Drosophila melanogaster: one gene and its partners. The protein of the gene in region 3 interacts with the protein of the main gene of each other region in a biochemical or structural test. Each region holds a gene or a part of one and is shown on either strand. Other genes may lie near its edges.

Region 1 (5,633 bases), on a different chromosome or scaffold from region 3:
AAGGATTTATGGTTGCCCCAAGGGATGCAGGATGTCCCCCACTCCGCCGATGTGAAGGCAGCCAGACGGAGATGAAGCCCGGAACGGAGTCGAGGTCACGATGAATGGCAGCTCTTGATTTCGGAATAATTAACTTAGACATCTAATTTGAATGGGGGTCTAAACTGTGACTCGGTTTTAATTCGGGAATTGGAAAGGGTAATTTGATCAACACTTAAGAAACAACATTTACATGTGTCTGCTTTAAGAACGTACTTTTTAAGATTTTAGAGTGTTTCTGAACTATTTGTTTTTTTTTATATATTTATAGTATATAGTATAGTATATATAGTATACAGTACATAGTAATTACCTTTCTATATATTATGAATTCGTTGAAAAATTGCAATGACTAATTTTGTTCGCTGTCGCTTATCTTTGATTTATTTGTCCGCACATTTCTTTGTTTAATTACAAATGTCGTACCAGATATTTACTTTTATTTATGTATATATCGTGAATCAACGTATCAAAAAGTATAAACGTATAAAAAGTGTTTATTAGATTGCAAAACAATTACATTTTGAAATGTCCATGGTTAAGAGACTTGAATTAAACAAAGCAATCATCGATCGGGGGCAGGTATCCACTGCAGTAGTGCCAGGTGGACCAGGCTGACCAGCCCTGTTGACCCAGGACCTTTAGGGCACATCTTACGGAACTTTTGATGTCATCGGTCAAGAGAGCGTTGCAACTCACATCGCAGCCATTGTGGGAGAACTTTCCACTGGACGGCTGGCACCAGTACATGTCGTTGATCTGGAAAATGCCATAGTCGTTGGATCCATCGGTGTTGGGAGGCCCCACCACTCCGGTGCGGTAGGAGCTCTCGTGCTCTGCAATGCACGCCCACTTGGACAACTGGTCACGAGAAACACCCATATTGGCCATCTCGCGCGCCAGTGAGCAGCGATCCATGGTGCGACCCAGGACAGCTGGAGTGACTAGTGCCAGGACACAGATTCCTAGGAGGGCTCTCATGGCGAATTGGTTGGATGTCGATGAAGTACTGCGTGGCTAAAGACTGTTCATTCTTTTATACCCGGGGAAATAAAAAAAATCTGATTAAAGATAAGAACTATATTCTATACAAAGAAGAAACCAGCGGTTCTTATTATTGAGGGTATTCAACTAAATCTGGGCTTTCTGGGCACACCTCACAGACTGGATGATGTCGTCTTTGAGCATGTCGTTGCAGCTCGTGTGGCAACCGTTGTGTGAGAACTTTGAACATTGGACCGGATCACCTGAGTTAGTGGTAAGAAAATTTCTTAGGAAAATTATAGGTACCTTTAGATTGTCTGATTTGACTAGGCAACAGAAAAATGCATATCTTGTAGGTAAGTTATGGCAGACTGACGATTTCCATTTCCCCATTTACATTTATCAGTTGGGGTGGCGATTACATCTCCTATCGTATCTTATAATATAAAATAATATAATATAATATAATATATTATAATATAATATATTATAATATAATATATTATAATATAATATAATATAATTGCTGTTTTAGATAGATAATGACCAACCTTATTCATAATTTTATAATTTTCTAAATTAATTGATAGATAGTTTTTGTACTTTTAAAATTAATTAAATAATTTTCGAAATTGCATTTTGTGAAATGAAGACTGATTCGTTCGTACACATTTACTATAAAAATATATGCCCGATAAGAAATCCCCAGCCGGGGGAAATCCCCATTTTCTAGATCCGCCCCTGGCTGTTCGTGCCAAAGCGCAACAGCATTGCAATTCGCAAGTCACCACCATTGGAAACGGGGAGCGGAAGTGACTCACTGCGCAGGCGCGCTTCCTGTCAACCCCCAGGACAGAGTGAATGCCGCTGACCCCCCAACCTTTGCCCTGCCAGCGGTAAACAAAAACAAGTTTGGCTTACCAGCGAGAGAGAGAGAGAGAAATAAAGAGAGAGCTTGCGGATGACAGCTGAAAGTCCCGAATTTCCCTGGCTTGGGCCTCCACTATTTCTGATTTGGCACCACTCACATCTGGAATTCAGACGGGGGCACGCCAGCAACGTCAAGGAAATTATCGATTTTCGCATGTGAAGTGAAAAAAGTGACTCCGTTGGCAAAAAACTGTAGCGCGAGCAGGACTCCAGTGAAAATCTAACCAAAAGCAGTTCACACGGACTAACTAAAAGCCCCAGCTAGCCTGTAGTGGAGGGCGTGGCAGCTGGTCGGACCCTGGTCCCCAAACGACATGGCCGACAGCGAATTCGAGGAGTTCCACAGGCCCATATTTGAGCCACATACGATTGCTGGATTCGGATCAGGAGCAGGCAGCAAGAAGAATAATCCACATGCATTTTACTCGTAAGTTGAAAGGTGAAAGGCTGTGGTAAGAAGCAATCTGGCGAAGCTTGCTGTAGCCAAGACGTGTGCACGTGTCCTGAAGAGCACCCCTTGAAACTGGTTGGGTATCCTTGAAGGGAACTGTTCGCAACAGAAATCACAAAAGTCACTGATGGAACTGTTTAAAAGTATGCAACGAATTGTGTGCATGCCTTTGGACATTCTTATGAATTATTCCAAACTCGCTGTGATTTCTGTGCGATGGCATGAGTTCAGTTTCATCAGTAAAGCCCTTTTCACAGCTTAATTCCCAACGATGACCTGGAGGACTCGCACTCCTCGAAGAGCGATGGCGACGGTTCGGATCAGGAGGATGGCATTGGTCTTGTGGATCACGAGCCCAAGATGCGTCAAGTGGAGGACGATGAGCTGGGCGACGGGCTGAAAGTCACTCTGTCCTCGGACGGCTCGCTGGACACCAACGACTCGTTTAATTCGCACCGACATCATCCGTTGAACCACCAGGATGCGATTGGTGGCTTCCTGGGCATGGACACCAGTGGATTGGGTGGCAATAGTGCACCTGTGACCATTGGAGCCAGCACAGATCTGCTGGCACCCAATACAGCTGCCACGCGACGTCGTCGCAAGTTGCCGGAAATACCGAAAAACAAGAAATGTAAGTTTATTGAAAACTTAGTTCCTGGCTAGAGTATCCTGCATGCAAGTAGTTTCAGGGGCTATGCCGGTTTTCAAAACTAGTATTTGGTTTTCCACAACACATCTATTCGTCATATCCTATTTTGGGAGCCGGATAGTCCTTCTTAACATCCCTTCGTAGTTTCGGGCTAACCCACTCATGGCCTCGTTGCAGCTTCCATTCTGCATCTTCTAGGTGGCTCCAACTTTGGCTCCCTGGCGGATGAGTTCCGCAACGGTGGTGGTGGAGGAATCCCTCCAGCAGTTCGCAGTGGACAACAGCGCTCATTTCTGTCCCTCAAATGCGGCTACTTGATGGACGAGGACTCCAGTCCGGATTCGGAAAGGATGCAGAGTCTGGGCGACGTGGACAGTGGTCACAGCACGGCGCATTCGCCCAACGACTTTAAGAGCATGTCGCCGCAGATCACGTCTCCCGTTTCGCAGTCCCCCTTTCCGCCTCCCTTTGGGGGCGTGCCCTTTGGCCAGCTGGAGATGCTGGAGGCCACTCACCGTGGTCTGCACAAGTTTGTGCCGCGGCACCACGACGAGATCGAGCTGGAGATCGGCGACGCCATCTACGTGCAAAAGGAGGCCGAGGACCTGTGGTGCGAGGGTGTGAATCTCCGCACCGGAAGGCAGGGCATCTTCCCCTCGGCCTACGCCGTGGACCTGGACTACAACGAGTTCGATCCCACAGTGCAGCTGGTGAAGAAGGAGCGCTATCTGCTGGGCTACCTCGGATCCGTGGAGACGCTGGCGCACAAGGGCACCGGAGTCGTTTGCCAGGCGGTGCGCAAGATTGTCGGGGAGTACGGCAACTCACCGACCGGACAGACGTGCATCCTGGAGGTTTCCGACCAGGGACTTCGCATGGTGGATCGATCGGGCCCGAATGTGAGTAGGATACATACATATATACATCTTCATTAATAACCGATATAAAAACCGATTTCGTGAAACAGCAAAACAAAAAGGACAAGAAACCTTGCATCGACTACTTCTACTCCCTGAAGAACGTCTCCTTCTGCGCATTTCACCCTCGCGATCACCGCTTCATTGGCTTCATCACCAAACATCCCACGGTTCAGCGGTTCGCCTGCCACGTCTTCAAGGGCTCGGAGTCGACCAGACCGGTGGCCGAGGCAGTGGGGTGAGTCCTCAAGCAGTCATCCCCCCAAAACAAACGCTCGAATAACATGTTAACACTCCTTCTTTCAGCCGTGCTTTCCAGCGATTCTATCAGAAATTCATTGAAACCGCTTATCCCATCGAGGACATCTACATTGAGTAGGCTTGCAAGGCGGTTTGTGCATTAATCAATACGATATATTTTTTGTGCGGTTATTACGAATAAAAGCAAAGATAAGTCTCAAGAATATTTGCTCTTCTTCAAAGAGAATCTCAAAGCAAAATCAATAAGCTCGCAATAGAAACCCTAGCTATAGATTATTATCATTTATCCGTTTTGAACAAATGTGCAAGATCTTAGACATGTAAATAGTTAGTTAACTTTCGTTCAAAATCCCCACTTCACACTCACACTCACACTGAGCTTCAAGCAATCAGCAATAGTTGCCCCCTCTATAGGAACCGCCTTTAAACTCGAGTTCACTGGATATATGGACAGAAGCAAAAGAACACCTTGAACACCTTGAATTTTGTATCGGGAGTCAGTTGGGTCAGTTGGGTCTATTGTAAATCGGAGATAAGCAATTTGGATTGGTTATAGATATCCAGACCCTCCTGTAACCACATCCTTAACCTGGCAATGCACAAAATAGAGTGAGGCCAAAGTAATTTAGCGATCTTCGTGTAACCTTAGTTTAGTTATGCCAATCTTTCAGTTACCAGAGACTCAACAATATCGAACACCAGCTGCTACGTTTTGAAGTATTCTCAATTAAAGCCCAGTATAAGATGTGTAAACCTTTAAAGTTGTGTACACGCAGGCGAATATATACTGTATATGTATACAAAAGAAATATATAAAGAACCTATAAATCAAACTATATTGGATTATTGGGTGCTCAAGGAAGAAAGGTGAGTTTTATTAGTAAGAGAATGTAAGCCCTTTCATCTTATATTGTAGAACTTACCCAAAAGTATGCACTTAAGCTCAATTTATAGCAAGTTGATAGAATCCCGAAATGATGGTAGATAATATTTAGCAGCCTAAAAGATAACTTATAATTTGTAAAGTAAATTATTTTACACATAAAACATGTGAGTTTATCTCTCGCGGGAAATGAATTGGTGATTTGCATAAAATTACACGACAAGACAAGATAATACTAATCGGCTATATGAAGGCAATGGCCAATTGCAGTTTAGTTTTAAGATTAACTTGTGATGACTTGTTTTGAGCGGGCCATGGAATGGAATGATGGCCCAGAAGTTCCCATTCGGATTCCACATTAGTTTTATTTCACCGCACATTTACCAATGCGGATCTACGCCGGAAAAAGAAACAATCGCACATTAATGAAAACGCCCAGGGAGTGGAGAATAAATGGCCGAGCCATTAAAATGGCGATACATCAGTTAGCCTGGGGGCATCAATCATTATGCAATT
Region 2 (5,298 bases), 2.5 Mb from region 3:
ACGATTGTTTGACAAACAATAATAGAAAAATCAAAATACATCAGGTTTATATGTGTACACTTATATAAACAGCCTGATTACGCAGTTGAGCTTGCAAACAATAAATTAAATTACACCATAATACGTTTGTGGGCTTTCACTTGTATTTGAAGTGCTTTTATTCACGTGCAGCTTGAAATCAACTAAAGTTAACTCTTAGAAATTGTAAAGCATCTCTTCCTTGTAATTACCTTACAACACAGCATTCGCTGGCCCCAAGAAATTCTTGTCAAAAACTTCCTTCGAGAAAGCCCCCTTTGCAGTCTCTCTCTCTCTCTCTTTAATTGCGCATTTCGACTTTTCTTGGATGACATCTGTTGGCCTTCCTGCCCTGCGTCCTAGCCCAAGTATGTTTTCTTCTTGTTTTTTCTTTTTTTTTTTTGGTTAAAATGAAAATCAATAAAAAGCTCAATGACGTCAGCCGCCCAGACACACACACAAACGCACACACACGCACACTTACAAAGTAAGCGGCAACATCGGAAAATGCTGGCGGCCAAATACAGCTCCTGGCACTCCCAGACTCCACCTGCCACTCCCCCCGCCCACGTAGCTTGCTCTCATCTCCGCCGGAAATCCAATCGCTCCCCTTCGTGTGCCAGTGTGTGTGTGTGCCGGCGACTGTGCGAGTGTTGCGGGTGTGCGAGTGTTGCGAGCCGAAGACACTGCACGTGAGCAGGCTATCAGCAATGGAATAAGAGTTTCGACAGCCAGAAACGCGTTTATCTTTCTGTTTTCAGCTGTCATACGCTGAGAACAAATTTGTAGTTGAATTAAGACAAACTAAAGTAATATTCTATTAATTAAATGGTTTTTAGTATTATAATAAAAATATTTTTAATTTGTACCTAGATCAATTCCCAAACTAAAACTATTGTTATATGGGACTTTGATAGTTAAACTACAAATAAGATACTGCAGATATTTGTTCGATATATTTAATAACTATGCATTGATTCGTATGCATATTAGTAATATTACTTATTTATTTCTCTGTAACTCTGCCAAAGGCATCCAAAGTAAAGGAAATGCACTGGTGAAGGAAGGCTGGCCTGGAGTGGCTGTGACAATTTACGCCAAATCTCATGATGGCTGCGATAAGCTGACAGATAAAAGCGATAACAGCGACGACAACTCAAGCCAATTGAGAAATATGCAACAGAAGTGTACAAATTTTTGTGGGCTTTGAGTGTTGGATATTTTTGACAAGCACGTGATGTGTTAAGGTCAAAAGTTGGGCATCCAAAAATAGATTTGGCTCAAATGGATTTAAAGCAGATCTAAGCAAGCGAAATCATTTTAAAGGAAATTGCTAAAGTTTTAGAAGAAATAAATATAAATGAAATTACAACTAAGTATAAGTATATATAATGATTTCTAGCATAAAAACTATAATATATTTCTGTATTTCGCAGCTTGTTAACCTATTCAAGTTTATTGCAATTTTAAGCTCGATTGAGCTGCCAAATCTTTTCAATAATATTCGCTGAGAAGGGATCATTTCCCTGCCCCTCGAAGTATGCAATAAAGAGCGATTCGTTCCAAATTGGCGCTGCTGCTGCAAGAACATCCCCAAATGCAATGAAAAACTGTTTTTCTTTTCTTTTTTTTTTTGGCAACAGCAAGCAAGGGGAGGAAGTGAACAGTGAACATATTTCCATAAACACACACGCCCCCCATTGGATGAGGAGTTGAATTTTATGAATATGCAACACGATGTTGTTGCTTAATGTTTGCGCAAAACAACCATATGAGCATGTAATGCCCAAAGGGGGCGGGTATTTGGGGGTGTGTGGTGAAAGTTGGAGTCACACACTCGGCAGTTAGTTTGTAGTAGGTGTTAAAATTGCACATGAAATATGAAAAGCCACTCATAACACTGAGAGAAACATGTGCTCCCACTTGCCTGGTTAACAACTCCCTGGTCAATTCACCACGCGAACGACAGGCAGTGTGTGTGAGAGAGAGAGAGAGAGAGAGTCCCTTTTCATGAGAGAATCCGAGTGATACGGGGATAGCGAGAGAGAAATTCCTGAACTGCTGACGACAATCGAAGCGAATTCCTGATGTAGGTGGGCCATATCGTGGGCTCTATAGCTTTTCCAGCTCCAGCTGCGGGTCCAGTTTTCAGTCGTTGTCGTGCCGTCGTGATGTCGTTGCCGTCGTCGCATCCGTCGTCGTTGTCGTTGTTGTTGTCGCCGCACTCCATCTAGTTGTTGTTGGTGCAGCAGGCAGTACAGCAACAGCAACAAAATCACACACCAGCAGAAAGCAGCAACATCAGGCTTTAAGCGCCAGCGAACAACAATTAAACAAGCGAAAATTGCAGCAACAAAAAAAACGAAATGAGCTCGCTAAACGGAAAATTCATTTGCGCATATGGAATGCTGCACACATAGTTATATACATATATATATATAGCCACACATACAAGCATATATATATAGATATATACGTATATGTTATACACACACAAATCTACATAAAATCTAAGTGCAAACCAATTGTGATTTAAGCTAATGACCACAAACGCAAAACAGCTCCAACAACCTACAAGAAAGTGTATAAAAAATGTAAGAAAATTCTGCATTTTTCATTGGTCTCCACGACAAAATTTGATTCGTTCACTTTTTTTTCCAACTTTTTTCCGCCGTTCGTGAGCTGGTTGCTTTTTTTCTGTACACACAACGCCACGCAATCCCACCCAAAAACTCGCCTCTCTCCGCTCTCTTCTCTCCTCGACTTCTCGCCTCTGTGCTCCTTTGTTGTGTTGGCCGTGATCCTTTTGGCCAGGATTCGGTGCGGATGAACGCATTAAATATGCAGAAAAATAAACTAACACACACTCAAGGAGGTCTACCGCAGTTAACGACTGTCCTTCATCCTTGAGTTTTGTAATTATAATTTGAAATATAGAAGATTTCATTGACACTGTCAATTGCTTTGATAGGTCATAAATTTAAAACAATTTCATATGGAAAAAAATTACTATTAATGTGGATGAAAAGTCAGGGGAGAGCGACAGTTAACGAGAGAGAAAGTTCACCACACACAATCAAAACTAAAGAATGTTAGCCAAAACAATTATGACAAAAACTATTCTAGTAACTAAACTTTCTCCATTCAATTTAAAATGCCTCGAAATTTTAATTCAAATCGGAGTAAATATTTTTTTATGTACAACAGTGCGTATGATTAACTTGGCTAACCCGCGTTGGCCTTTGGCCTCCGTTCAGTGTGTGGTGAAACCCAGTATTGCCACAAAAACGTCCCAGTATTTCCTGCCAGCTGCAGTGTGCTCTCTCAGTCGCTCACTCGCGCGCTCTCGCTCTTTTATTTCCCCAATGTGCGCGTCTGTGTGTGTGAGTGTTACAACAATAGTGGCAGCATGCAACATAATTACAACTCAACTTCAACTTTACACTTAGACGACAAGCGAAGCTCGCTAGAGAAACAACAAATGTCGAGCGCCGCTGAAGTGTTTAACAAAAATAAGGAATACACATAAGTGATTAAAATCCATAATTAATGTCTTTCTACCGAACAGTTTTCAAGTTTTTTAAGTATATGAAATTCAACCAAAGCCTTGTAAATAGCCAACAAAATACCTAAAGAACAAGAACGCTTTTATTATTAAAAACAAAACAACAACAGCAAATAAAACCAAATTAATTAACTCAACTAAGGAAAGCCATAAACAACAAACAACGAACGAATAGACAACGCCGTTTACACAGCAACCTGATAGAGAAATGCATGTAAGTTAAACTAAAACAAAAAAAAAAAAGGGTATTTCGAGTTGTACCGAATGACTAGTCTTATGTACTGCAAAGTCAACGAATCAACGAAGCAACAACATCAACAGTTGCCCCAGACAATGACGAACAATGGCCGAGAAATTGCCACAGCATATAAAGCAAACTTAGTCCCTGTGTTCTCTCTGTTGTGTGCAGTTTACTTCTCTTTTGTGGCTGTTACTGCTCTGTTTACTGGGCAATAATGAATAGTAAATGTGGGTGGTGGGTGGTGGGTGGTGGGCGGTGGGTGTTGGGTGTTCGGTAGTGGGTGGTCCTTCGATGGGCGTTAAATTTAATTAAAAGGTAAACTAGTAGCAGACAGCAACAGGCAGTCAGTTGGAATCGATTTTCCTTTTCACTCGATTCACTTGGCAAATGGCGAACGTCACTAGGCAACAACAAAACGAATTGCAGGAATGGGATCGTATCGGATGAGATGGAATGGGTTGTGGATGGGTATTTTGCCCTACAGACAAATGATGGTAATGACGACACACAAGCACCCACACACACACACACACACACACACTAGAGCACTAATACACTCGCCAAAATGGACGTCATAAATGTTTGACAATGCACACGGGGCGTATGAGTAATGGCAGTGAGCCCACAATTGGTAAGGGGCTTTGTTGTTTGGATACAAGTGGGCGTGGATGTGTGGGCGTTCTGTTGGCTGGTTGGACATCGCTGAAACAACTATCTATTGACACTGTATCCCCCACTCATTTTCTCCTCCCCCACCCTCCCATGTAACCAACATTTTGTGGGGGTCAATGGGTGCATGAAATTGCTTTTTATGCTTCGCTGTCGTCGCTCGCCCTTCTCCCACTTTCACCCCCTTGGCCACGTCCATTGAACATATTCAATGCGCCTTGTTGGGCCAACTTTTAGCTACGTTATACCCTATATTACACCCTCCCGTTGACAGGTTTTGTCGCTTGCATTTGTTCGCCGTTAATTGCATGGAAATTGTGCGCGCAATTGAAAAAGTTGAACAAGCCAAACGACAAAGTGGCATTGTTCCAGCTCGCCTTTTCCGGGAAAGCCCACAGATATCCTTTTCGACCCAGTCAATGACTTGTGTTCGCTGGCCGGTGCTGCAACTATGAATGAATAAGTGCAATTATGGGCTCTAGGACCATGAATCAAACGAAAGGCGGCTAGCCGCGACTGTAGAATGGTCATTAGTCAGCAGGCTGGTCGGTAAAAAAAAAAAAACCCATAAGACGTTCCATTTGGCAGGCAGCCGCAAAAAGTCACCAAGTCATTGCCTCGTTTATAGTTTTTGGCTGCAGCAACAACTAGCGTGGCAACTTGGCCACGTTTTCTTTTATGGCTCTATTGGAGTGCATAAGTGTGCGTGTTTATTTGTTTGTGTCCTGCGAGTACTACAATAGTGCAGTGCATTGCACCCGTTGGCTCGAAATGGCTGGCGCCATGAAAATTCGCTCGCCAATTC
Region 3 (5,365 bases):
TCTGGTCTCAGTGCGTTCTTTAAGGAGGAGGTGGCATCGATGTCTGGTGGTGTTGTGAGGGGGCTTGAAATTTTAATGAGTTCTTAAAGTGCAGATTAGCCGGAGCCTCAGACTGCGCACCAGGCAGCCTCTTCGGAGGTCCGATGGAACCAACCAAGCCACCCAAAACTGGGTTGCGGCCTGGCTATGCTTTACACTCTATTAACCCACATTCTGGCCAAAGTCGTTGCGGCCATCGGAGTAAATTAAATGGAAAATTCCCATTCACTCGGAACTGAGGCACGTTATCTAACAGGGAGAAAGCAGGGAATTGGGAAGGTAACCTCTGCCAGCACAGTATCTTTATTTCCGCACAACGTGCCGTATGCGTAATATCATTTACAACTGCAAGGCGACTGTCTAGTGAAATATACAAAAAGTCGTAATTAAAACAATATTCGTTGACTATTCGTGGTTGGAAAAAAACGCCACAAAGAAATGAAACGAAATATTCCTGCCAACTTTGTTGGCCCCAAACTTCGACAAACTAATTTAAAAACTTTGTTGCGTTTTTGGTTTTTGGCGCGCAGCAACTTTGATTTACTTTGAAATGAAGTGCCCAGAAAACCAAGAAAAAAAAGCGGGAGAACAAAAGTTGCAACTGCAAAATGGCAATTTCCACCTTGTGTGTTGACAGACAAGTTTGCAAAGAAAGGCAATTAATTAGCATCCGGAATCGGTTGCCTTGGCAAACTCACGAAAAATGCAAAAAGTTGGCCATACCAAGCTAATATTTACATATTCTCCAGCAAAGGTCGGTGAAAGTTTTAAAGCACCATTGTCTGCTCTTCGATGCCCTAATGAGCTGTCGTTCAATTAATTGAATGCTCACACACTTGGGCCATAACAATCAAGTGCTTCTAATTGCAGCAATTATAGCCGACGAAGGCAGGGGCCAACAGCCATTGCCAACAATTACATGCATAAATAGTCGACAATGTGCTCGAGAATATGACGAGTGGCAAGTCCTAAAAATAACACTGCGAGCAGAAACTTTTTAAAGTCGAGCAATTACAATTACAATTACATTTAAGATGTTGGGAAAAGTTCATTATCCTGCTGCTGGCATGACCTCAATCGCAGAGCCAAGGAAAAAAGCGAACCAGAACACGAGCACAAAAACTATCTTGCCTATTTATAACAAGCTGCTCACACACAGGCACACACACAGACCCACGAATTTCGTCGCTTCTGGCGCTGAAATACTATAGAAAAAAACCATAGCACAGTTATGGGGTGGAAAACCAAACCGCCAAACCGGGAAATGGGAAGTGGTTCGGAGAGAAGCAGGGGGATCCCCGCCTGTGGACATCTCATGGTCGCAGTTTGGCTGGCAGCCCAGCATATAAATTATTGAATGATTGCCATCTGTCAAAATTGGCCAAACTCAACGATTAATCCTGCTCGGAAAAATCCAATAAAATCATAATGGCTTTTCTTTTCAAGCCGTTCTTTATATTTTTCAACACGGGGGATCTTTCTGTTGGCTTAAAGGAAAATTCAATTGAATAGTTGCACATTTGAGTTCTTCATGTATTAAATACATATGCAACATGTTAATTTAAATTTGGCCAATTATGTTTTAATTCATCTACAGAAAAAACTACATATTTATAGAAGGAAGCTATGAAGACTTTCTTTTCATAATAAGCCCGTCTAGGTTGTGATAATGTTGTATTAAGTATCCGCAACGTGTACCAGGCCATCGACGCGTGACTTTCGATCATTGCAGTGGAAACTGAGTACAGTGGGCTATAAATATATACGAAATACGTGAAAGCATTCAATCGGTGGAAAGTGCTGTTACGGGTATTAAAACACCGCTCCAGAGAAGGTAACGGTAACCGCATGCACGCTGTAGATACCTTTAGTGTACATATATATGTATGCATATGTACATGCATACGTACATACACACGAACGTGTGTGGTGGGTGTACACTGTATGTAGTATGTGTGTTACGCACGCAGCAGCAAACAACTTTAACATTGTTGTTGCGCAGGCTGTGGGACAAGTGTGAAGTGAAAACCGCCCCCAGAGTGCGAACCCAAAAAGTGGGACTTTTCTGCTGCTGCTGCTGCTGGTGCTGCTGGAAGCTTATGAATATGAAACGCTCACACACACATGCTGCTCCTGCCGTTGTGGCACTTGCAGTGGTATTGGTGCTGCTCCAGTTTCGTTGGCCATTTACATCTACTTTACTTACATGCCTCTCGCTCTTTTCGCTTTCTCTGTATGTGTGTGGCGGGTGTATGCGTGAGTGTGTGTGGGTGCGCGCTTTTTTGTGCCAAAATGTAGCTGAACTCTGCTTTTAGCCAATTTCTCCGATTTTATTTAGGCATTTTTCTATAATTTCGGTTTCATTCACCATTTCGCCTGCCTCGGTTTTACAGTGATTACCCGCATTTGCATATTGTATATGCATCAGCATGTGGGCGAGTATGTATATGTATATGTTTGGATATATGTATGCATGTGAGTGTGTGTGGGAGAGTGTAGTTTTACGCTGGCTGCTCTTTTTCGTATTTTTTTTTTTTTTTTGCCTTTATCGATATGCTTACACTTTTACTTTTCACTGTCCCACCATTTTCCCGGAATCATTATATCTTTCACTGGATTTTTTAACTGCACTCGCGGCGAGCTTTTTCACGTTATTGGCGAGAAAATGAAATTTTCACGCAGCAGCGGTGCTGTTGGGCAAACATTTGGTGTACAGCGAAATTTTTCGTGAGCTCGCTCGCTCGCATAACAGCTCTTTTTTTCAGCTTGCGCAAAATAAGTATTTACCACGCGATTTTGACACTTTTTGCTTAAACTGCGGTTTTCGTTTTCGGAAGCACAGGATTTTATCCTTTCTTTTTGGGTTAACTTTTTGTAATATTTTGTATTCGGGGGCTTTTGAACGGGTTGCGAACCTTTTTTGCTGCTTGTGCTTCTGCTTCTTGCTTGCTGCTGCTGCTGCTTTTTCAGGTCGCCTGTTTTCCTCTTCCACGTTTGCGCTGGGAAATTCACATAAATGCATATAGTTTACACTAGGCTACGTAGGCTGTACATAATATATCCGAAAAACGCGATCGTTTCACTGCTACTATATAGAAAAAAACTCCGCCTAGTTGTCCACTTTCTGTGGGTAGTAGCAGTTGGGTCTCAGTGCGAATACCGAAAAGTGGGTCATCTCGGTCGCGCTGCTGGCGCACTCTGATTTCTACCCAACTGCCAGCTCGGTGCTCAGTGTGCCAGAGCAGAGTGGCCCAGAGAACCCAGAGCCGAGCACTCAGTACCCAGTGCCCACTATTCAGTGTGCGGGGAATCGATTTTTCTGCCAAATGACACTGAAAAACGGGCAATTCTCTCCCGCTCTCAGAAGGACTCCTTTGGGGTTGCAACTGGGTAAATTTCTGCTCAGGGCCTGTTATTGGGGGTTTACTATTACTTTTGGCTGTTATCCGTTAACAGCGCTGTCCTCTGTTAACGACATGTGCGTGTAAATCTGAGATTTTGATTTCAGTTTACCAATCTCTGATTTTCGAAATCAATTCTCGGGTAATATAAAACAATTATTTCCACATCATACCACACCTAATACTATAAATTATAAAGTAATTTTACGTAAATTGGTTAAATATGAAACACTCTTTTCAATTTTGGAATATAAATACATTTATTTGTCGTTTTCTTTTCGCTATGTCTACATTATGAGTTTGTTGCCGTTCTTTTACTTTTGCTTAGTGTTCGATTTTCATATAACATTTTATTAATTAAAATAATTTTTTCTCCATCCTGTTGATAGTGCTGTCGGCCACTAATGTCTTTCGCTTTCGCAGTTTTCAAATAGAACATATCATTAAGTAAAAGATTATTATGTATAGTGTTTAAATTTCAAACTCTAACAATTAAAAACAGTTAAAAATTTAAGTGTTCCGTTAATGTTTTTGTTTGTCATCTCCCCGTAGTACATACATTTCCTGTTTCTCGTTTTTTTTCCACTAATTTTAAATTTATTCGTAGGCGCTTCTCCTAAACAAAAACAAACTAGCCGATGTTGTTTGTTAACAGAAAAAGAATGAATTATTTACAATAAATTGTAAACGAAAAATAAACTCTCGCACACATCGTCCGTCTCCATAAATAGTTGCTCACTAGTTAATTACAATGCTTAGGCTTCGCAAAATTTTGTGTCCGAGTATGTGTAATACATATGTATATACGATATAAATTAGGCCTATTTATTTAGTTACAACAGATTTTCATTTACGTTCAAACATTTAACTTGGACTGCGTCGGGCGATTTTGTATTTAAGTGTGTTGAGTTTATTTGATTTGTTTCGGTCTTGGTATGTTAAATGGTTATTTAAACATAAAATTAAAATGCCACTAATTAATTAATTTGCCATAATTAAAGGATTTAATTCTCTACTCGCATTTACTCTTAACTGTCAGCATTATTTGATTCGTTTGCCGTATTAGAAAAAGTGCACTTATGAATACTGCATTCGGTCTGAAAATAGATAAAATAAAAGAGAATCGGTTAGAAAATCCTTGCTGAAGCAATTTGAATTAGTAATGCAATTTGGCCCCAATTTCATGAAAAGGTCAGCGGTAATAGCCATTAGTACGTAATCGAAGCAATTTACAATTTAAAATGGGCGGGGGTCCGGCTTAATATCCGCCCCTCAGAATCTCCGGCGCAAAATGATAAACCAAACAATACCCGGAATGCCAATGGAATGACATCATCTCAACGGTTGGCCCGAAACGATAAGAAACCAGATATGAGCCGATTTAAAGAAACCGGCTGTCATGGCGTCGCAGCGTATCGTTTGATAACACATATAGTAAATAATCACTGCAGGTGATTCTTAATACTTACTGTCCTTCTTTGAAGTACTCCTTCAGCGTTGTGCTGAACTTCTTGGAATATTTGACGAACTCCTTCTTACGCTGCTCCACAGCCTGCTTGCCCGTTACGCCAGGTATAAACGAGCCGATCTCGTTGACCACATCGAGTAGTTTCTTTATGGCGCTGGCGATTTCCCTGTAAAACGCAGTAAAATTTCATTATTCATTAATCAGTTAAGCTTATGCAGTGAGTTTTAGCTTCATTTTGAGTTTTTACTTACTTGATGGTCTCCAGGAAGGTCTTCCTGTCGTTTATCTCATCGGGTATGCGGCTGAGGATCACCTTGAGAGCCACGGACTTACGATTGAGCTCCTGGAAGGGCTCCTCCGTGCGCGTCAAGCGGTATTCATTGACTGTGGAAGGGGGAAACTTCGTTAGCTACGAAACTCAGCTGCTGGCGTGGCTACTTACGGTCCGCTTCCGTAA
Region 4 (5,310 bases), on a different chromosome or scaffold from region 3:
ACGCGGTGACCGCCGCCTGTGCCCGCGGCAACATCTCCACCTGCGGCTGTGATGTGCGGCACAAAGCCACGCCCACTGGCGGCGGTACGCCCGACGAGCCCTGGAAGTGGGGCGGCTGCTCGGCGGACGTGGACTTTGGGATGCGGTATGCGCGCAGATTCATGGATGCCCGCGAATTGGAGCGCGACTCCCGCACGCTGATGAACCTGCACAATAACCGAGCAGGGAGAACGGTGCGCATGCATAAAATTTAATAATAAATATGGCCTAGTTAATAGTTATGTTTTTCTCTTATCAGCTGGTCAAGAAGATGCTGCGCACGGACTGCAAGTGCCATGGCGTCAGTGGCTCCTGCGTGATGAAGACCTGCTGGAAGAGCCTGCCGCCCTTTCGACTGGTTGGCGATAGACTCATGCTGAAGTATCAAAAAGCCAAAACTGTTCAAGCCGTCAAAGGCAAACGTGGACTGAGATTAGTATTAAGCAGGTGAGAAATGGGAATCTTGCAAGATGTTGCATGATATGTAGGCAATAATCTAATGGCTAAATAAGTATTCTTCTAAAAAGAATAAAACACATAGTAGTCATTAAGTCCTTTTTAAATGCAATATGTTTGCTGTGCCTTCTGTAGCACGGTATAATATCAACACATTTTCGATCCCACATATTAACACATACCTCTTTCCACTTTTAATTTCTTGCAGAAAGAAGCATGCCGGCACCGCTCGTGCCCAGAAACCGGTCCTCGATTGGCCGAAGCGCATGGAGCTGATCTACCTGGAGGCGTCGCCCAACTACTGCGAGCGAAGTCTGCAGACGGGCAGCCAGGGCACCTCAGGTCGGACCTGCCAGCGGACCGGCCACGGCCCCCAGAGCTGCGATCTGCTCTGCTGTGGGCGTGGCCACAACACGCAGCACATTCGAAGGACCACGCAGTGCCGCTGCCAATTCCGCTGGTGCTGCGAGGTCAAGTGTGACGAGTGCGACGAGAGCTACGAGGAGTTCACCTGTAAATAGACGGGTAGCGGGAGCATATCGCTAGAACTAGGGCTATGTCATAGGAAATGCGTTGATTAAGTATTATGAGAAATGTATTACAACCGCAGATACGCACCGCGCCACCATACAGACACATTCCAGAATAAACGTAACAAGTTAACATCCCCAACGAATACTGTCTTATTATTAAGTTCGTATAATTCAAATAAGTATTTAAGTTTTCTTAGAAAAGAACCTTCTGCAAAAAAGCTAATCTAGGTGAGCTGATACATTCAGTCTGCTGTTTCAGATTTCTTATTCCTTAAAAATAGTTTCCAAAATAATGAAATCCAAATCTTTAAGAATCTATAATCTGTTCTTATAGAAAACTGTTCCTAAAACCAACGAGTTCATAGTCTAATTTTGAGGGCGGTTTGAATAGTTGGCGCGCAGCATTGCCAACGCTGAATGTGGAGCAATACGTAAGACCCACATTCGTTTAGCGTAACGCAATGCGCTGGCTCCATATTTTGGTATTGGAATTCCGGAATCCATTAAGCTGGCAGCTCGAGATGCCAGCACTCACTGAACTGCGCGAGCGCCGAAAGGAAAATTCATTGATTGCAATCGCGCGCTCTCCGGCTAGCTCTCCCTATGCCTAGGCCAGGAGGAAAGCAGAGGGTGGTCGGTAAGGAAAAGTTGGAAAACTCACCACTTGCCAGCGAATCGGCGACTATATTAGCAACTGGCTTGCACGAGCCGTGCTCAGTTCTTTGAGGGTAGTTAGTTGGACAACGGCGTTGCCGAAAACGGGCCACCTCAGCTGCCGCACAATACATTTTTGGGTTAGGAACACACATAGACACGAATACCAATACACTCCCGCATGCACACACACATACACACACGCGCAGTATATGTATCTGGCCGAGAAATGTATAAGGCCAAGAAAAGTCCAACTTAATTGCATTCGCAGCGGAGAAAAGTGAAAGAATAGCGCGAGAAAATTCCATTGACTGGCGAAAAGTGCTTCGATCAAATGCATAAAGTCCCCGTTAGTGTGTGTGTATGTGTGCGAGTGAGTGAGTGTGCGTGAATGGCAGCACTAGCGCTAGAGGCTGCTCCCTGGATACAGAAAAGTGATTTCCTGCAAAAAGTGCGAAAAAAGCGAGTTAAAAGCAAATCGAGCTGGCCAAAAAGCCGCCTATAGCGCTCAAAATCGTGTGACAAACTCAAGGAACCATTTCACACACACCCTTTATACGTATATATATATACAAATGTGCATTTGTGTATAGTATATCAGTGTGAAAGACCAACGTACAAACACACACTGTCAATCAAAAGGAGTCATCTGTCCCACTAAACGCTGCCTATCGATTGGGGCGAAAGCAAAAAAAAATTATTATAAATTGCTTCAACCTACATATAAGCCATGCGAGTTATACACACACACTCGCATTCGCACACCCACAAAACCGCACTCACACACACACACACACACATACGCATACGCCTACAAAGAGACATTAAGTTTGAAAAGCTATAAGCTGTATAACAGAGCCTAGAGCCGAGCGAATGAAGTGACGGAAGGTGGGGTGCCAGCATAATGTTGAGCCACCCAAACCACCCGCTCAGCTCCACCGCCCCTCGCCCCTCGCCACACGCCACTCCCCCCACAATCCCCTTTCGTTACGTCGAACCTTACGTTGTTCGTGAGCGTAACTCGTGCGTAGAACACTCTCCACTCCATTTTGCGGAGCACTCTTCAACTCCCTATCTCTCCGTATCGCTGTGTTTGCTGTGCCTGTGTGTGTGTGTGTGTGTGTGTGTTGGGCTCGAATGTGTGTCAGCGGGAACGAGTGTAAAAAATATCCTCGTTGGGCACGAAGCCACCAAACCACTTGGAAAAATAAATGAAACACAAAAAAACCCACTCAGTGAATGAAGACTTTAATTAGTTTAGCTGGAAACTCACGCGGTTTAATTATCCTCCCACACAGCCATGTACATAAAACAAAAGCCGTTTAAATCATAAACACAAAATGCAATTAGCCAGCGAGCGCACGCCACGAAAGTCAACAAACTAACTAAGCCAGTGTCATCAACTAAATTAGTGCAAGCAGCTAGCCGACCGGAACCGGAAATGCCCATTGAGCCGCCTGACAACAACCACAAACACAATCACAATCGCAGTCACCAGCACCATTGCATTGGCAACGGCCATAAAGACGAGCAACAAATCGCCCACACACACATGTAGTTGCAGCGCGAGTGCGTCAGTGTGTGCGGGCTCTGAAAACCGGAAGCGGAAGTCGAGGAGCAGCAGCAGGAGCAGGAGCAGGAGCAAGAGGATTAAACGAACGAGGAGGTGCAGTAGCAGGAGCAGCAGCTAGCTTAGCCAGTTTTTCATTCGCCCGCAGTTCGTTAAGGAAAATCATTCAAAATTCATCGCCTAAGCAAAGCGGGTGAGCTATTTAACCGTATTACGTATACGTAACGACACCCACACTGACACTGAGATACACACACATAAACGCACACACAACCAAAGAAACACGGCAAAAACTTCAATTTGTGATGTGAACCATAAGCGATATTGATTTCTGATTTGTGCGTATGCCTTGTGTAACAGGAGCCGCCATAATTTAATCGTAATCAGTTATAAGTAATCTGTTTTTGTGCCTGCCTTTGTTCTCTCTGTGTAACTTCTTTATCTCCTGTACGTATCTGTTGTGATTTCTTTCTTGTGATTTTACCGATGAATATGTCCAGCTGAATATAAAATACGATCCCCGATTATCTAGACCTAGTTGCAGTCCTAGAACGTAGTCGAGTAACTTAGTTTAGCGAGTAATTTTAGTCTGTTCTCCATGCATTACCCATACGCCCCGTTCAATCAATCAATCATCCGGAGATTGGCAAGCAATTTGAAAACTTATAATTAGATATGTGGATGGTGCCTTGTGGGGCAGGCTCGACGCATTCGATTTGCTCGCATGATTTGTCAGTTTTTTGTTCAGCTTTTTTGGGGGCCGGCCCAATCACCTCCTTTGCGTGTCAATGATGCGGTGTTTGCCTTTATTATTTACTTCTTTCGGCTGTTATTTGAGTTGCTTGCTCTAATTTTAGATCAGCCGAATAACTTTTATTGATTTCAAATTTCAACCTTATTTTACATGTGGTCTGAGTCAGTGTCTGTGTGTGTCTGTTGTGAGAGTCAGTGTGTGTGCGGGCGAAGAAAACGCCGCCAATCCATATATTGGGGCAGTGGTAACAACAAAATACGGCAAATATTTTACGATGACGCTATTGTTGTGAGCGGGAGCGAATGGAGAAAGCAGCCAGAGGAACGGAGAAAGGCGAGAGGAGAAAGGGAAGTGCGCTGGTGAGATGGCACGCATTTGCGCACTAGCCTCCCAGTGTGGTGAGTTCTCTCTCCGGCTTTCTCCGGGGACGCCTCTCGTTTTTTCGGAAGCTATTCAACATGTTTGTTTTGGGGTGGAGGCCCCCGGAGCAGATAGCCTGATAAGATGGCCTCCGGACGGACAACAATCGTAGTGGCTTCCAGTTTCAGCTTCAGCTCCAGGTCCCCCAAGTATGCAGCTAGAAGTGCAATCCGTCTCCCGCTCTCCGCATCTACATACATCTGGCAGTATGGCAGTATATATCTGGATATGTTTGCCCAGCAAAGTGCACTGCCTGGGGCTCCCTAATGGCATGGCGATGTAATCGAATCTGGGCCTGATATTTTATGGCCTGTCTGCCATATCCTGACCTCATCTGCTGCGCTTCCTCCATCTTTTTATGTCCCCATTCTCCCTGCCGCACACATAGAGCATCCACATCCACAGAATCAAGCTGAGGCTTCCTTTCCACGGCTTTTGGCTGTGTGAATGGGCTTCCGGCCTGCTGATTCATTTAGCATTCATTTGAGCCGCTGCAGCTGTCGCACCGCTGCCGTTGATATCTGCACTCTTGGCCCATTCACATCATTCACAGCAGCCGAAGGTTCAACATTTCGTCTTATCACCAGGTCGCATTGTTTATGCGGGCGCCTTAATTACAACCTGCTATTCATGACATTCAAATACAAAGTCTACAAAGTAAACACGATGATTTGAGGTCATCAGAATCAAAATACTAAAGCCAATTATTAGCCACGAAAATATTGAATTTATTCATTTTGTTCTTATTTAAAATTAATACCCAATAATATTTTTGAAACGATTTAAGTTATTTAAGCTATAGTAAAGCAGAGAACATTATGAGTGCGTTACGTTATATACTTATTTATAAGTTTATTTGATTTTAAATTGAGACCAAAAGATGA

Evidence for each region.
Region 1: the proteins of Rbp (region 3) and Aplip1 are reported together in a solved structure, tested with the Drosophila melanogaster proteins (one study listed by BioGRID).
Region 2: the proteins of Rbp (region 3) and Rim form a complex in vitro, tested with the Drosophila melanogaster proteins (one study listed by BioGRID).
Region 4: the proteins of Rbp (region 3) and brp form a complex in vitro, tested with the Drosophila melanogaster proteins (one study listed by BioGRID).

Annotation. Positions count from the first base shown.
Region 1 is NT_037436.4:1,194,276-1,199,908, forward strand, and holds Aplip1 (APPL-interacting protein 1), read left to right. Parts: upstream 1-2,041; 5' UTR 2,042-2,267; coding exon 2,268-2,380; intron 2,381-2,661; coding exon 2,662-3,038; intron 3,039-3,233; coding exon 3,234-3,955; intron 3,956-4,023; coding exon 4,024-4,211; intron 4,212-4,279; coding exon 4,280-4,352; 3' UTR 4,353-5,064; downstream 5,065-5,633. Other genes in the region: LysX (lysozyme X), read right to left, coding at 592-1,020. UniProt on the Drosophila melanogaster protein: The JNK-interacting protein (JIP) group of scaffold proteins selectively mediates JNK signaling by aggregating specific components of the MAPK cascade to form a functional JNK signaling module.
Region 2 is NT_033777.3:17,913,453-17,918,750, reverse strand, and holds the start of Rim (Rab3 interacting molecule), read left to right. Parts: upstream 1-2,172; 5' UTR 2,173-2,612; intron 2,613-3,586; 5' UTR 3,587-3,797; intron 3,798-5,298.
Region 3 is NT_033777.3:15,372,558-15,377,922, reverse strand, and holds the start of Rbp (RIM-binding protein), read right to left. Parts: upstream 3,289-5,365; 5' UTR 3,062-3,288; coding exon 2,955-3,061; exon of another isoform or gene 2,246-2,954; intron 1-2,245. Other genes in the region: Ccm3 (cerebral cavernous malformation 3), read right to left, coding at 4,453-4,537, 4,910-5,074, 5,160-5,292, 5,351-5,365.
Region 4 is NT_033778.4:9,502,024-9,507,333, forward strand, and holds the start of brp (bruchpilot), read left to right. Parts: upstream 1-1,741; 5' UTR 1,742-1,822; intron 1,823-2,980; 5' UTR 2,981-3,445; intron 3,446-5,310. Other genes in the region: Wnt2 (Wnt oncogene analog 2), read left to right, coding at 1-233, 299-486, 704-1,016.